2 linked regions of the Drosophila melanogaster genome follow. The protein of the gene in region 2 interacts with the protein of the main gene of each other region in a pairwise test. Each region holds a gene or a part of one and is shown on either strand. Other genes may lie near its edges.

What was found. Proteins that work in one complex are often made in the same cells at the same time.
Region 1: the proteins of CG32700 (region 2) and CG3815 interact in a two-hybrid assay, tested with the Drosophila melanogaster proteins (one large-scale study listed by BioGRID).

The regions. Positions count from the first base shown.
Region 1 is NC_004354.4:6,291,762-6,300,521, reverse strand, and holds CG3815 (uncharacterized protein), read right to left. Parts: upstream 5,134-8,760; 5' UTR 5,017-5,133; coding exon 4,969-5,016; intron 4,813-4,968; coding exon 4,622-4,812; intron 4,559-4,621; coding exon 3,874-4,558; intron 3,814-3,873; coding exon 2,291-3,813; intron 2,220-2,290; coding exon 2,030-2,219; 3' UTR 1,552-2,029; downstream 1-1,551. Other genes in the region: CG12219 (uncharacterized protein), read left to right, coding at 1-659, 725-914, 998-1,225; CG15891 (uncharacterized protein), read left to right, coding at 5,469-5,918; CG15892 (uncharacterized protein), read left to right, coding at 6,384-6,712, 6,778-7,342; mldr (mulder), read right to left, coding at 7,415-7,787, 7,854-8,760.
Region 2 is NC_004354.4:9,544,781-9,552,609, reverse strand, and holds the start of CG32700 (uncharacterized protein), read left to right. Parts: upstream 1-1,771; 5' UTR 1,772-2,180; intron 2,181-7,829. Other genes in the region: l(1)G0320 (lethal (1) G0320), read left to right, coding at 1-671.

The DNA of each region.
Region 1 (8,760 bases), 3.3 Mb from region 2:
TCGAATCAGAATCACACGACGCCGGAGGAGACCGCTCCAGCAGTTTTAGTTCCTGTCCCTGCTCCTGCTCCTGCTCTTGCTTCCGCTCCTGCATCTTCTGCTTCTCCTGGAAACACAGTAAATCCCGCTGCTACTGCTACTCCTGCTTCGTCTGCCACACCCACCACCAATCTCGCAGCAGCTCCTTTACCATCGCCACCAACTGTCCAACAGCTGCCGCTGTCGGTAATCAAGAGTCAACCCAGCGAGGCCATGAACCTCACCATAACCAAGACACCGCCATCCGGTAGTCGGGGCTCACGCAATCGATCCAGTCGCCGAAAGACGCACTCGCCCAAAAAGGTCCAGCACACGGAGGGCAGCGATGTTAGCGACGAGGATTCGCCGCAGAAAAGGCTCAAGGAGAACGAGCTCATACTGGCCAATTATAATGCGGTAGCCGCTGCTGTCGTGGCAGCCGCTTCGCTAACGGGCAATCCGCCAGGACAACCGGATAGCCTGCAGCAGCGTCTGTGTGCGAGCCTTTTGCAACAGCAACATCAGGAACAACTCTTTGCTGTCATGTCGGCAACGGCGGCTGCAGCGGCGGCCGTAGGAACGAGCAGTGCCACAACAACGACGACAACGACAACTGGGACAATGATGGCGCATCCCTATGGGTAAGTCGATTGGATACTCCAGCAGCAAGCAGCAAGCAGCAAGCTTACTAACGAATCTCTTACAGCAACCACCCGCCTTCAGAGACGGATAAACGACCGGCGGCTCCGCTGCAGGCTGTCATCCATGCGGCACCCGTTTCGATCATTTGTCCCAATTGCGGTGAGCTTCCTGGCCAGAATCATCGCTGCCTGAGCAAGCCCAAGTACGCATGCGATGTGTGCGGCAAAAGCTTCAAGATGAAGCGATATTTGGAGGTGAGTACTGCACTGCCTTGCATTGTTTCAGTTATCCGCAGCTGCATGGATACCACTAATGATAATGAATTCTTCTGCGGCAGGAGCACTTTGCCACGCACACGGGCGTCAAGCTGCACACCTGCGCCTTCTGTCCCACGGAATTCCGCTCCAAGTCGAATATGTACCATCACACTAAGCGCAAGCACAAAGCGGAATGGGAGAGATCGCGAGCCACGCGCTCGGCGGCCAAGGCTGGCGTCCAGGAGCAGATGCAGCACACCAACCCGTCACAGGCACAGGCTCAGCCGGGTCCTGCGGCCGCACTCTAGGATGGCAGCCGGCACCTGGACGCGGTGCATGCGTAGTCTTAGATCTTTACAATTACAAATATATACATATATATTTTTTGCATATTAGCCATACCGAATGTACTTATCCGACGTTTCGTGTACTCCACAAAGTCAAGGCGTCCCGCCGCCTGGCACCTATTGTGTATACTCTTCTCGTTCTCTATAATGCCTTAACCAGTTGGATTTGATCTGGTTATAAAGTAAACACATTCATTTCAAAAGAAACTAAAAGTCATGTGCACTTATTGGGCGGGGCTTACTGCTAATTGGTGGCTCCATCGATCCATTTGCATGTGAAAAAATCTCTGATCTTACAAGTTTATTTCGTTTTAGCAATTTATACATCTGTTTTTACAATAAAAGTAAAGTATGCGATGCGGGTTTATGCGATTTATGAACGTAATGGTTAATTCAATAAATACGGCGTTTGATACCAGAGATCCACTGCCCACTGGCATGGATCAGCCTGCAGCCGTGCACATCCGTGGTTTGTACTCCGTATTTATTGCACTGGTCATAAGGCAAATATATACCCTTAATGCTGGATGGGATTGGAGGATTGTGTGATTTAAAAGTACTGCCGAGGCTTTGCATTGCGATGATTGATGCGATGAAGTTGAACTGGTATCTGCTAACCCTAACCCTATGCCTGGCTGCTAGCTGCCCCACTGAGATTGGTGCTGCTCCACTGGAGTTGGCTGCGGTTGAGCGCGTATATGTTTCTGTGTCTTAATGCTTAAACTAAAGGCTGCTGCTTCTGCTGATGGAGTCTGGGTACTGGTTCTACGAACGCTTGCTGCGCGCCTGCGCCTGCAGCAGATCCACCGACGGCACGACAAACACAAACGACAGGCAACCGAATCGCAGCAGGCTGCCGTGAGCCAGCACCGCCGATCCCTCCCAGGCGCCATCCACCATGGGCACTGGTCCGGCGTTCATGCAGCGGCAGGCGGGCTTAACAATGGGCGCCAATCTGCGGGGAGATTAAATCAACAAGTGGTTATCATCATCATTGGGTAAGTTGGGCAAATAAACTATAGCTACCGTTCTTTGTCGATTTTCTTCGTCTCGAACTGGCGATTAATGTTCCGACGCTTGTCCAGCATCTCATCGACGCGCTTCTTCAGCTCCGCATCGTCAGGTCGCATCGGCTTGCCGGCGTGCGTTGTCATCCTTTCGGTCACGTCGCAGGCATACAGCTGTCCATTCACCTCGGTGCCAAACTCTGAGTAATTGATCAGCTCGTACGACTTGGAGAATTCGTCGTAGAAGATGATGGCGTGCTGCGGTGAAATGCGACAACAGTAACCAATGGCCGACAGGTCCACGGTCTCCGTTTGCGCCAGCGTCGTCGATGGCGAATAGTGTCCACCGTAGCCAATGTACAGCGTGCGGTAGCGCATGAAAATCGAATGGTCCAGCCCCAGCGAACTGAACCAGCGGCTATCCTCGAGCATGTCGCCCAGTGGCGTTATCACCGCACGCGCCTGCACTTTGCACTGCAGCAGCTTGAGCTCCAGGCGCGATGCCAGCTCGTATGCCTTCTCCGTGTCGCTACGGGCACGCGGCGCATAGCTTTCGGCAGCGGCATCTGCTGCTGCAATGGCCGCCGCTGTGGCCAGTGCCGGATGCAGGGCCGTTGCGGGATCTTCGTCGGCGGCATTGCCATTCTTTTGCGCCAGAATTGAGGACGTTTCGCTGGTGAAGAGCAGCGAGAAACGGTTCATATCCTCCGGCGCCAGTTGGCCTTGCAGGGCAGCAGTTTCGCCAGCCACATGTGTGCCATCGACTGACGCCAGTTGACGCAGGCGACGAGCGGCCGTGCGATTCTTGTACTGTGTCACAATCTCCGGATGCTCTTCGACCAGCTGCTGCAGACGCTGGTGCGCCAGCTTCTTGATTATATCGACGTCCAGGTGTAAGAGGTCTGCATCGATAATACCCGTTGATTTCTTGCTGTCCTCCTCGTCCTCCTCGAAGCTAGCCTCCACCTCTAGGCTGGTCTTGGACTCCACCTTGACAACCGACGGCTGTTCGCTGGCCTGCGCATTCGATTCTGTATTGGGATTCTCCGTATCCACTTCGCCATTCACTTTATCGGCGGGAGTGTTCGTCTCGGTCCTTTTCTCTTCAGGACTGGGATCGCTGTCGCTATCGCCATCTATGGCCGTCTCCAAGGTTCCGAATTCCCTCTGAATCTCACGGAATTTGGCGTGAGCCGTGCGCAAGGCCTCCAGATCCTTGAGCAGCGATTCGGTGACCGACTCACGGGATATCTCCTCGACTTCGGTGGGCAGGTTATTGCGCCGCTTTACCCGATCGTAGCGCAACGTTTGGCGCATGGAGGGCAACAGCGGCGGCGGATGATCGTAGTGGTAGCGCACAATGGCTGGCACCTCGATGTGGGCGCGAGCACGCAGATTTCTCTTGGTGCGAAAGGGCGGATTGCGCGTGTTGACACGCCGGAAGAACTCAAGCTTGACATTTTCATGGTCAAGTGGCTGGTGGAAGCGATTCCAGAGACGCACCCGCTCCGTGGCCGAAATGCTATTGGTCATATTGGCATCCTGTGAACAGACATCCTCATTAGAACCCAAGCAGACCTCCATGTGCGTTGGCTGACTTACGATAAAATTCTCGGCATGATTGGGGCACATCCACAATCCAGCTGGCAGTGCCGTCAGTGGCGGATCCAGGCAATCCTGGTGAAAGTAGAGCGGACAGTAGTCGCAGGAGATGAGCGGCGCCCGTTTGCAGGAGCGCGTGCAGTAGAAACAGGTTTTGGCGGGCAGCGGCACCAGTCCCTGGGCATCCAGCTCAAACGGCTTGGAGTTGCGTCGCTGATTGCCGGCGCATCTGCGATTACCGCCATTTCCGCTCGGCGGATGCGTCTGCTGTACGGGTTGCACCTTGCCATTGCCCGGGAACTGGGTGTGCAGCTCGAGCTCCGGCGGCAGCGAGAATTGCTGCGGATTCATCATGGTGGCCGCCCTGATGACATCGTCCAGCGGCGTTGGCTTCTTGTTCGGATCGAGGGCGCGCTGTATGGACATCGGCATTTTGGCCAGCAGCTTCTCGGTGCTATTGCGTTCGCTGTTGCTGCGTTTGCGCAGGTTGCGGATCTTCAGCGGTATGGACTCCAGATCGCCAGACGATGGAGTATTCGCCCGTGAGCCACTGCCCGCCGAAGGCACACGCTCCACGGAACTGGCCTTGGATGAGGAGGCCGGCGGCTGGGAGAGCTTGCTCATGCGACAGCTGTGGCACAGCCACTGGCCACTGGGTATGTCCTCCTCGCTCAACGGTGGATCACTGTGGCGAAAGCACGAAATCAGCACTCAAAATGAGCAGCTATATGCGCGTGTATATACTCACTGGCATTGCAGGTGGAAGCTGGAGGGGCATCGATCGCAGCACAGCAGATTGCCGCCCTCCTCGCAGGCGTCACAATAGTCGTGGTTGTGGCCCCTGCCCGGGCGCCTGTAGTACGGATGCTTCGTGTTGGTGGACCGCTGCATCATCTTCTCGTCCTCGTTGGGCGGCGGGCGGATGAGCTGCTTGATTTGCTGCGCGAAGTAGTAAAGTTATGTTAAATGTGGGAAATGGAGACAGTTGTGAATGCGTTAATGTGGCAGCTCTAGAGTAGCCACCGCCGATTGGAATTGGAGCTCCGGGCAGTGGACACACTGAAGCTCTGAATGGCGTCCCGGCGGCACACTCACCTCCATGATGCTCAGTGAGGCGTTCGGGTCCTGGTCCAATTTTGACATCTTTTTCGCTCGCTCCTCTTATCCGGTGTACACAATCAATCTCGGAGCGACTTCACTTGGCGACGGAGGCGGGCGCAGTGTCGGTTGTCCAGCCCTGCGCATCCGACGAGCGAATGGCCACACTGCGCGCCCACCGATAGGCGATTAACGGAAATTCAGTGCAGACTGCATTTCACTCCAAATCTAACTACTTGCAATTAATAAAGTTTATATTGGGTATACACATTCGTAACCGAAAAATACCCAAGCAAACAAATAGTTAAAAATTAAATACCCAAAATTCTCATATTTCGCTCAGACCTCACTATAGACACCTATATGTTTACATCTTTTGGGCACACCACTAGCTAGCACTCGCTGTTTTGGACCAACGCCCGCTAAAAGAGCATCACAGCTGGCGGACGACGCAATTTGCCAGTTGATTTTACCAAACAATAGAACAAAATAGTGCAATGTTTTCGATATTTGGCAAACGCAAGCCCGCGGAAACGCCCACGGATGACCAGCCCATCCAGGGACCGGCGGAGGCAACCCGTCCAGGCACCAGTGTCGATGATTTCGTGTTCATAGAGCGCAAACCAGTACCGGATGCTCCTCATCCGGGTGTTCCAGCCGGCTCCATGTATCCACCTATGCCGCCAGCGGGCTATCTGCCCTATCCGCCGATGCCAGGACCGCGCAGCGATCAAGTGAAGCAGCCCGGAGCCCAAGGACCCGTCAATTACTTGCAGGACATTCCATTCGAGCTGGCACCCGGATTGGCCAACAAGGATCGCTACACCAGCACCCAAATGCAGGTGGACAGCATATTGGCGCTACTAACGCGCCAATTGTCCGTGGACGAGCTGGCCGAGGAGTACACCTTCGCCCTGGAGCGATCCGTGCAGAACGAGTGTTACTAGCTTTAGATCCATAGATCCACTGGTTAATATTCATACATTACATTACATTACATATAATAAAACGTTGCTTATTTAATTGTAAACCACATATGCAGTGCTCTTTTGCTTGTTAGTGGTGTGAGTCATTGGAATTCCTTAATCTTGTTGCCATACAATTAATGTTCCATTTCTTTGAAAACATGTAGAACTTTTCTGACTATCAAGTAGTCCTTTGGTTTTACCTCGCTCACATTTCAACTGGGACTGCTCATAAGGTGATCCACTATCGCAGCGTGAATACATAAAATTGTTAGTGCTCCCGTTTACCCAAATTTTTCGTACACAAAAAAGATTTCGAAACATTATTTTGTGTTTATAAGTAACCAAGTTCAAAGCTAAATTTCCAATACGTACAAATTTACCAAGCCGAGACGAGCCGTTCCGTTTCGTTTCGTTTAGTTCAGTTCCGTGTAGTACTCTTCAGCCATGGCCAGCTCCAATGTCTCGGATTGGGATGAGCCGATGCCCACGTCGACGGAGTCGCTGCCCGAGGAGGAGGATCCGGATGTGTGCGCAGAGGAGAACGTAAAGAAGCGGCGGGAGGAGGAACTGGACAAGCTGGAGTTGTATGTGCGGCGCATGGCCTACCAGCCGACACTGCCGCCCAAGGTAAAGCCCTACGACGTGGCCCTGTCCAAGCCCAAGTTGCACACGCTCATCGACAACTACGAGCAGTTCAAGGATGTATACGATCCGAAGCTGCGGGCCAAGCGGATCAAGCGCATGCTGGGCAAATACAAAGCCATTACCACGGAGTAAGTGCAGCGCTTGCATCAGTTGCTAACGCGATCTAATCATCTCATCTCATTCCCAAAAACAGACAGCTGGAGCAGATCCTTAAGAGCAACAAGACCAAGGAGCGAAAGAAGGAGGATTTCCTGAAGCGCAAGCAGGAACTGTACTACAACATGCTGACCAAGCTGGAGCGCCAGTGCCGCACCCAGTACCTGAACGTGCTCATCAAGAAGTTCGCCAAATTCATTTCCCATCTGGCCACAACGATGCGCATTCCGCCGCAGCTGGTGGATCCGTATGCGCGCATGCAGCGCGGCATCTTCTGCAACATCCTGTTGGCCATTGGTGTGCAGCCCACCTCACAGTCGGCCATCTACTACACCAGCCAGGATGCCATCGAGTACGATGTGTGCCATCGCCTCGCGCACGCGCTGCTCAGTTTGATCATTAAGGCGCTGGACTCGGCAGCCACAAGGGATCCCAACGAGCTGGCCAAGCCGGCCGACTTGGACTTCGAGATGGACAATCACATCAAGCGTCGGCTCATGTGCGCCGCCGAGAAGAAGCTGCTGTACGAGCGCCGTCGCAAGAAGCCCCAGCCGCAGGGTCTTGGAGCCTTTGAGAAGTGCACCCGCTATGACTGCGACTAGGACGGCTCCTTCAGTGTATTCGTGTTAACATTTGGCTACTATTTATTCGCATAAGAAGTCTTGCTCACATGGTCACCTCGTTGTTTTGGTCTTGGTTTTGGTGGCGGGTATCGTCTGCTCCTTCATCTGGATGCACAGCCAGTTGGCGGGCACCTCGAAGCTGTCTGTGGGATGCGGCGTGTACTGCGCGCAGTAGGGCACATGCCAGGTGTCCGCCACTTGGTGGGCACACAGCCGATGACGAACGGGCTCCTTGACTATAATCTGACCCGTTTGCGTTTGGGTGACCAGGGAGAACTGGTGCTCCTGCTGCCAGCGACGAAAGATGGGCTTCAGCTCGGTGCCCAGATGAAAGGCGTGACTGCGCATCAGGTCGCGGGAGAAGAAGTCTGTCTCCTGGCCGCTGCGCAGCGTGGCATACAGCAGGAAGGGATCATCGTGCGACCTATAAGCAAACGAACGAACGAATTAGTCTACCTATCCCTTTCCAATTCGAGATGAATTCCCTTACAGATTGCTGGTCAAGAAGAGGCTGGCATTGCAGTGCACATAGTGCATGGCCTGCTTGGACCAGTTGCGCATGTGCTCGCGTCCCAGGACGAGGACACGCTTGTCCTGTTCCCGGAAATGACGCACCACCGTAGCCACTAGCTTGGCCAGCTGCTGCGGCGTCTTTTTGGTGCCCGTAGAGTAGGCCACATTGAGGCCATCGATCACACAGTCGTATGGCGCCGTCTTTTCGACAAACTTCTTGAACCTGGCCACCTCCTCGGGCGTGGAGCGCTGGAAGACGTCTCGTCGTATGAGCACGCGCTCCAGAAAACATTCGCTTAGCTGCCGGAACTCCTCATCGCTGATGGCCACCGGCTGGAGGTGCTGCTGGCAGGACTGGCACTTGCCCAGACCTCCCAAATGGGTGGTCCTGGTGTGCAACAGTTGGGGCACCTGGCTGGACAGCTCCTGCAATCGTATCGCCACCCGCTGGCTGACTAGAATCTCATGGCGTTCGAGGAATTGCAACAAAAGGCTAAGCTGTGCAGGAAGTTGTGCCGTTTCGTTGGCCAGTCGATTGAGCAGCGCCAGATAGACCTCGCATTTGGGCGGCTTCCGTGCCGTGGCCATCTCTTCCAGTAGGCGCCAGGCCAATTCCTGCTCCGGTGTCGCCACACTGAAGGCCTTCTCCGCCAGCGCGGAGTAGGCGGCCACACTGGGCGTACTGGTGACCTTCATCATCTCGAGCAGCGGCAGTCCGCGCTGCCAATCATCGCCGCTGGTGGCCACCAGTCCATGAATCACATTCTCGCAGCTGCTGGCGTCCAGAGTTTCGTGCTCCGCCTGCAATGATCGGCAGATCTGCAGTATCTCCGACTGTTCCGCCTCGCTAAGCGGTCGCTCGTGGTAGGCGGCATTGTAGACCC
Region 2 (7,829 bases):
CACCTGGCCAGCAGCTGGATCTGCCCGGCGGCAAACCCGTCGAGTTCCTGATTGGATTCACCAACAAGGGAGCCGAGGAATTCGTGATCGAGACGGTGGAGGCCTCCTTCCGCTATCCCATGGACTTCAACTACTTCATCCAGAACTTCTCGGCGGTGGCCTACAATCGTGAGGTGAAGCCCGGCTTTGAGTCGACCGTGTCGTACACCTTCCTGCCCTCGGATCAGTTTGCCGGCCGTCCATTTGGACTGAACATTGCACTGGCCTACCGCGATGCCAATGGTATTCAGTACAACGAGGCCGTGTTCAATGAGACCGTTCTGATTTCGGAGGTCGATGAGGGTCTGGATGGCGAGACTTTCTTCCTGTACGTCCTGCTGGCGGGCATTGTGGTCCTGCTACTGGTCATCGGACAGCAATATCTGCTCGGCAGCTCTGGCAAGAGGAAGCGTGCCGCTGCCAAGAAGGTGATCGAAACCGGCACGGCCAACGACAGCACCATCGACTACGATTGGGTGCCACAGGAGACGCTGCGTGCGCTGCAGAAGTCGCCGCCCAAGTCCAAAACGCCCAAGACCTCGCCCAAGCCCACCAAGCCGGCCAGTCCCAAGGCGGCCAGCCAGCAGAGTCCCAAGCAGCGCAAGGTCAAGCGTTCCGCTGGCGATGATTAAGTTCAAATCCGCTCAAGACTGCACATATCCCAAACACCATCGAAAGCGGTAGCCATAACATCGGCTGCCGAAGGAGCAGTAACAGCAAGATCCCACTCCCTCCCGTCATTTTCATCCTGTAGGGAGAAAAGCAAAAAGTTTCGTAATTAATTAGTTATGTACATCATGTTCGATCATTTCTAAAGATCATACTATCATAATTTTTTTTTCGTCTATCGAGATTGTTAGTCTATAAACGAATACCGAACCAACGTTTTCACAGATTTGTTTTAGAAATTTGAACTTTGAAATGCCCACAACTGCACATACTCCAAACTCAACAACAACAACAACAACCACAAACAAACAAAACAAATGAAAATGAAACCAACAAAAAATGAAACCTAAAGAAATCCCCTTGCGAAAGTGTCTTCGTTTGTTGAAGACACATTATAGAAAGAGGAGTAGCAGCAGAATGAGTCGAGTCTTCTAACTGAATGGAATATCGAACTTAAATAGAAGGCAGACCGATCGATTGCGTTGTAAGACAAGAAAGCCTTCCAATTGTACGATATGTTTAAATTAGTCCTACTATTACAATTGATTGCCCCTCGTGTTTATGTTTCGTCTCTCCCCTCCCCTCCCCCACCCACACACACCCATTCTGATTTGGAGTGTATCATTCTTTTTCTGTTAAGACCAAAATATGTTGAAGTGAGTTTTTTTTTTAGCTAGAGAAGTCGCAGAAAGTCAGTCGACTGATGAATAATGAATAGATTTTCTTACAACAAAACAAAATGAGAAAAAAAAAAACGAAAATAAAATTAAAAAAAAAAAAGATAAAACTGCGATGTTTTTATGTATGTATGTGTGTTGGGTAAATTGGAAAAATATTTTAAAATTAACTAAAGTGCATCGAAAGCATAAACTTGCTCTGCGGCGCCATCTGTTGGCGACGACTAGTAGTTTTCTTGAAATTGCATCGGCTAAGCTTTCAGTTGAGCAGAGCTTTCAGCGCTGTTAAGATGTACCCACTCCACAGTGCTCGTTAGCATCGCTGTTAAGGACACGGCAACTTGTTGTCTTCCCGCTGTTAGCGTTTCGCATCGTCCATTTGTAACTCATTCGTCAACAGACTCTCGTGCGGTTCGGTTCTCAGCCTCAGCCTTTGAATTCAGCATACTCACATCACAGTCGCAAGTCACTGGTCACTGGTCACAGTTCACAGTCACGCAGTTACTGCCTTTGCCCGGTTTTCGATTTTCGAAAGATATTCGAAAGTGCTGAACATACATAATTTTTTTTTTTTTGGTTTTTGTGCTAATCTAAGAAATTGAGTATATATACATAAATATACACATAAAGTGCAATAGCGTTCCGAAATACCATTTTTCAATTCGAATACAAACGACCGAGCCGAAGTGAAAGAGTGTGTGTGGCAAATATTTAAATCCCATTCGCGTTCCGATTCGGAGGAGGATTTGGCGGAGAAAGCTTGAGACACAGAGAACACACCGCAGTCAAAGGTGAGTGAAGTGCTTGACAAATGTAAATATGGTCAGTTCCATTGTGACAAGGACTCAAATTCCGACCGGGAGTCCCATTTGCAAGTCCGGAATTGGGGCTATGTTTGCCAAAACCAAACGGAATGAATCGGGCAGCACGGTTTTGATAGATACGAAAAATGGGCTTTCGAACATTCGGATTCAGTGGAATATTGAAATTAAAGATTTTTATGGAAAAAATAAAGAAATAAGAAATGAATGATGAGTAGAATGAATAGGAAAATTGTAGAAATGAAAGAATGAAGAATAGATATGAAGAAAAGGAAGATGAATGAATGAAATGAAATTAATTAGAAAATTGTACAAATGAAAGAAAGAAGAAATGAATAATGAATGAATGAACCGAAATCATAAAATTGTAGATACATTTAAAGTTGATTTTAAAATATACCTTCAATCACTATAATTGGACTACTTAAATAGGCACTTATGAAACTGTAGTTAACAAAAGAAAACAACTTGTCAAAACTCCTAATGAATTGCATTGCGGAAAAACGTGCCTAAATGAACTGTTTTATTATAGCGGTAATCGTAAACGTGACGAATTAATGGCATTGATTAAATTACCTAAAAGTCCTTGGGAAATGTAAATAATTTTCCAAATTAACGAAGCACTGCTCCTTGTAGCACATTAGAGCTCCAGCCAAATTTCTAAGCAATTACGACTTTGGATGAAATCTTAAAAGAAATATTTGAAATATCCTTGGCGTAATGTTAGCAATGAATTCATGAATGTCCTAGCAGGTGCCTATGTGCACATGTTTGCTTATTTGGCCCACCATTTGTTTGTCTGTCAACAAAATGGTTGACTTGAATCGAGTCAAGTCGAGTTTGGTTTGGTTTGGTTTGGTTTTCAGCCAACTTTGCAGGGGAAGAAAATGAAGTGAATTAATTACCTCTTCGGGCTTGAATTCGTAATTAATTCACTCTTGTTCCATGCCCGTCGTGTGGCTCCTTCTAATTCGACTTATAAATCATGTTGGATCTGGAGCGCTGGAATTGTGAAACCGAAGGGCAGGTGAGTTTCCTTCTACGCAATGGTTACAAAGACATTTTAAAGTCATCGGAAATCTGGTCAAAAATACATATATAATTGCTGAAAGTGTATAGTGTTCAACTAAAGTACAATATATTTGTATGATTACAAATGCGGAAATTCGATTTTTGTCGTGTTTTGCACAACTTTTGTCAGTTAACTTTTTAACGAATGTGAAATAGTTTTGCGTCAAAAACTTTGCGCTTAATTGAAATTCGGTTTCGCCGTAATTCGTAAAATACTTTTCTGCAGATAAGCTGTTTTTAATGCGAAAATGTAGTATCTAAATGAATTGTGAGAAACTAAATTGAAAATTGTGTTGATTTCGAAAGGTATAACATGTTTTTAAGCCGTATTTAATAAGTGCGGAAAAACAGTGTGAATTTTGGGAATTCGCTAAAATACAAATAATTTAAACGTTTCCGTTTATAGAAAATGAATGAAAAAACTTACTTGTTTATTATATGTTTATATTATAATGATTAATTATTGATGATTAATGATTAAAATGATTATTTACTAATACACTAACCTACGTTTCCCATTTTTTGGAATTGTCTAAAAGATTTGCTGTCATTTGCGTGTATTTTGGTTTTGCTTCTATTTGAAATTTTTCCCTAACCGGTTAGGGGATGCAAATAATTTTCAAGCAATTTTACTTAATTGCCTTTTGCAGATAATAAATCATTTTCTTTGCAATTTGCGCCGACATCAAAAACCCGCACTTAAGCGGAGGTCCCCGCAGAATTCAGCCACCTCCCATTTTTGTTGGCCTTCATTCCAGTTAACCCCTTTCACCCCTCCCCCCCTCCCCTTGCCAAGCTTTCATTCCATTCCCCTTCAGCCACTTTCACCCACTTTCACCCACTTTCACCCACTTTCACTCGCTGCTCAATCAGACCTTAAGATGGCCTTAGTTGGTTGCTCCTTTTTTGTGTGACGCTATCTGCTTTTTGCTAATTAACTTGGCTTGTTGCCTGTTGCCACAAATACAAATACAAATACGCACACACTTGCAGAGAAAGAAAGTGTGCCTCACACACAGACACACACGCACACATAGAACAAGTTGAATAAGCTACGTTTTGAATTTCTTTGGAATTCGAAAATCTCATTAAAATGTTTGCCGAGTCTCAAGGAAATGGGAAATATCGAGCGGGAAAAAAACCCTTCAGAAAGGTGTGTCCTGGCCAAAAAATTGATTGTAGTTGACATCTTATTGTTTTCTCATGTTTTATCACTTTGTTGAAGAATAATGCTAAAAACAAATAAGCCAGTACATGAATAATAAAATTATTTTAAATTAGCGTTACTTTGTTTCAAAATACTGTTTTTTTTAGCATTTTGCAAGCAGTAAATAAAACTTGGATCTAGATCTAAAAAGAAAGTGCCCAAAAGTGATTGAGCCATGATTAGCAGCGAAATAAAAAAAATAAAAATCGATTGAAGCAACCCAAAGGAAAACGCAATGTCAAAGGAAAATTCGGAAAGAATAGGAAATCGAAAAATGGCAAGCAAAAGACGACTGAAAGAAGGGAAGGTGAATGAAAATTATGAGATAACAAGGAAATTTGAAAGCACCAAAAGAAAGTTGGATATGAAAAGCGGGCAAGAGGCGCAAAAATAAAACTAAAATTGCAGCAGCAACAAAAGTGCATTTAAAAATGCACAAAGATGATCAAAAAAAAAAAAAAAAAAAATCCGAAAAGTATGCAACCACACAATTTGATTATTTTCTTTTCAACTTTCACCATTTCCACCGCTGGATTTTAACATAATGTACCGCACTGCAGCCAAATTGAAATATGAAATTATAATTGCATTTGCATCCTGGGCGGTCGAAAACAAAAGATCAAAATATCAAAAATATTCGCCGACGAAAATGTACCATTTAATTCCCTCTCGTTTACTTATGAACCCGAAAATACCAATACTCCACAAACATGTGCGATGACAACATTTTCCACACCCCACCCCGAAACAAGAATGAAAAATGATAATTAAATAACAACCAAGAGAGGGGCAAATGGGAAATGCGAACAAATGCTGGAAAAAAACAAGGTGCGAGCTAAGGGTTAAACACTGAGCTTGTAATTCACTTGGCTGACCAACTAAAGTTTCTCCTACCGAAAATTTTTTTGGCCAACACTCGTCGGGGATAAGAGTGGAAAACACAGTGGAAAACTATTTTCGAAAGTGATAGGGCATTGCATTTGAAATAGTTACAAAACTATAAAACTACCAAAGCCCTAACTTGATTGTTAATTACTTGAATTTAACAAGAGTTTTTGTTTCATAAAGTTATGATTATTTAAAATCTTTTTGAAATATTAAATCCAGATTGTAAGATCTCAAAGTTGATGCTAAGCGCCTGTGGATTTCGAATTAAAATCCCAAAAGATTTCATATTCTAGTTGATAAAAACTTAGATTCCCAACAACTTAGCTAGCAATTTAACAATGACATTGTTTTATGTACTTTCCAGTGTGACAAACGGGGCGTTGGAGGGTTAAGGCTGGAAAAGGGGGAAAGTTGGGTGTTAAAGGGGGCTTTTGCCAGAAGACCTACACGTAAAGTGGAGTAAGGCAGCGTAAAGTTAAGCAGAGACGACAACTTTTTTGTGCATGATAACGACAACAACACAACACTAATGGCCATGTATGTATGGCATGCCATTCTACACGTGTGCCTGTCTGTGTGGCTTTCCTTCTGTGTGTCTGTGTGTGGGTTTACCCCCCCCCCCACTCCCTTCCGTTGCACATGTGTGTGTGACAGGCGGCTGTCATTTGTAATGCGCTACGCAACAAGAAAAAGGAAAAAGGGGGCGGCAATCGGTGAAAGGAGTGGCAAAAGAACGAACGAAGGGGAAACTATTTCCCGACATTCGGATTCCTCGTCAGCGGAAAAGCAGAAAAACCTCTAATGATACGAACACGGACAACTGGAATAGTTGAAAACAACAATTAGGTGTTAAGCAAGCGAAAGTAAAACCAAGATATTCAAGTATAAAACAACTTTTGAAATTTTCAACAAATTGGATTGGCTTCTTTCTAGTTCCAGTTAGTTCTAAGTAAATGTTTGATTCGAACTTTTAATTGAATATGAGTTTTAAATTATTAAAAAACATAACTTGAAATCAATTGTGATATCGTAGCCAGGAATATTTGGTAATTCGTTATTTTCTAGTGACTCATATACTGTTATTCATATAGGTTAAATTGAAAAAAGTGCTCCAGAAAAACTACTTCAAGAGCCTTTTAATTATGGTATATATATAAACATGTATCTGCGTCAGGGTCTGGATATACCCTGTTGAATTCCATAACAAAACAGTAAAATATCATGTCACGAAACAATAACTTACACACACACACACACACACACACACAGAGACACACGCGTACACACAGAGAAAAGCGGGTAAACAATGCCATTGCTTGAACAATTCGCAAGTCGAATGGCGAAGAGATGTGGGGGCAAAAAGGAATTTTCGTTTGTCACCGCTGCTTTTGCTGAGCGCGAGCAATATTCATAAATTTTTGAAATAAATGTTTACAGACACTTTGCAGGATTTCCCACCTATTTTCTTCATCTTCTTGTTGTTGTATTTTTTACTGCATATGTTGCTGTTGCTTTTTTTTTGTCCTTTGTTGTTGCGCAACGCACTTGATGCAGATGAGATATATCCCTGAATGGCGGGAAAAATAGCAGTAGCCGTGCGATTGCGATTGCTATTGCGAGTCTAGCACATTTGCATGGATGAGTGTTTGAGTGTTTGAGTATTGCCAGAATGGCAGATATACATAGTTCACTCACTTATTCATGCCCGTTCATTTGCATCGAATGCGGCTTGTGCTTGTATTTGCCAGAGTTTCCACACTTTACCCACTTTTCACCGCTGTCACATCGAATCGCAATCAGTTCCGCAATTCGACATGAAATTAAGTCGTCAACTTGGCAGATTGCTAACTTTGACATTGACTTTGGTAATTGCCGTTTAAGCTGCTTTCAAGATTTGGCTTTTAAACACAATGTGTAGTGAACAAACTATAAAAGGCATTAAAGAGTATATTGTACACCGTTTTAATAGCTGCATAGGTAAATTTGAAACTCGAAACTATATTTTTCGATTTGGAAAACATGGTTGCATGTTTAGAAACCGCTGTATACAGCGTAATATATTATTAAGTAGATTCCTTGAAAATATGCTGCATTAAATTAGATAAAGTACAAGTTTGCTTATTCTCCCCAGTTTCGTTTTTCTAATTTTTTCCCCCCAGCATTTTTTTTTAATGTAATTTTGTTTGTTTGTAACTTTTTTTTTCCCTAAATTGAGCTTGGCCCCTCACTTTACTCATTTCGCTCGCTCTAATCTCTGGTATATTTTGTGGAAATTTAGATATGGATAGTGAGAGTTGCAAAGCTCAAAGGGAATTTCTGGGCGAGTCCTGTGCATTTTTCATGAGGATTGCACACCGAGAGCAGCGGAGCATCAATTAAACACTTTTCTCCCATGGCTAACACAAAAATAAAAATAGCCAGGGGAAAAGTGGGAAAAGCGGGAAAACAGCAGCCGGA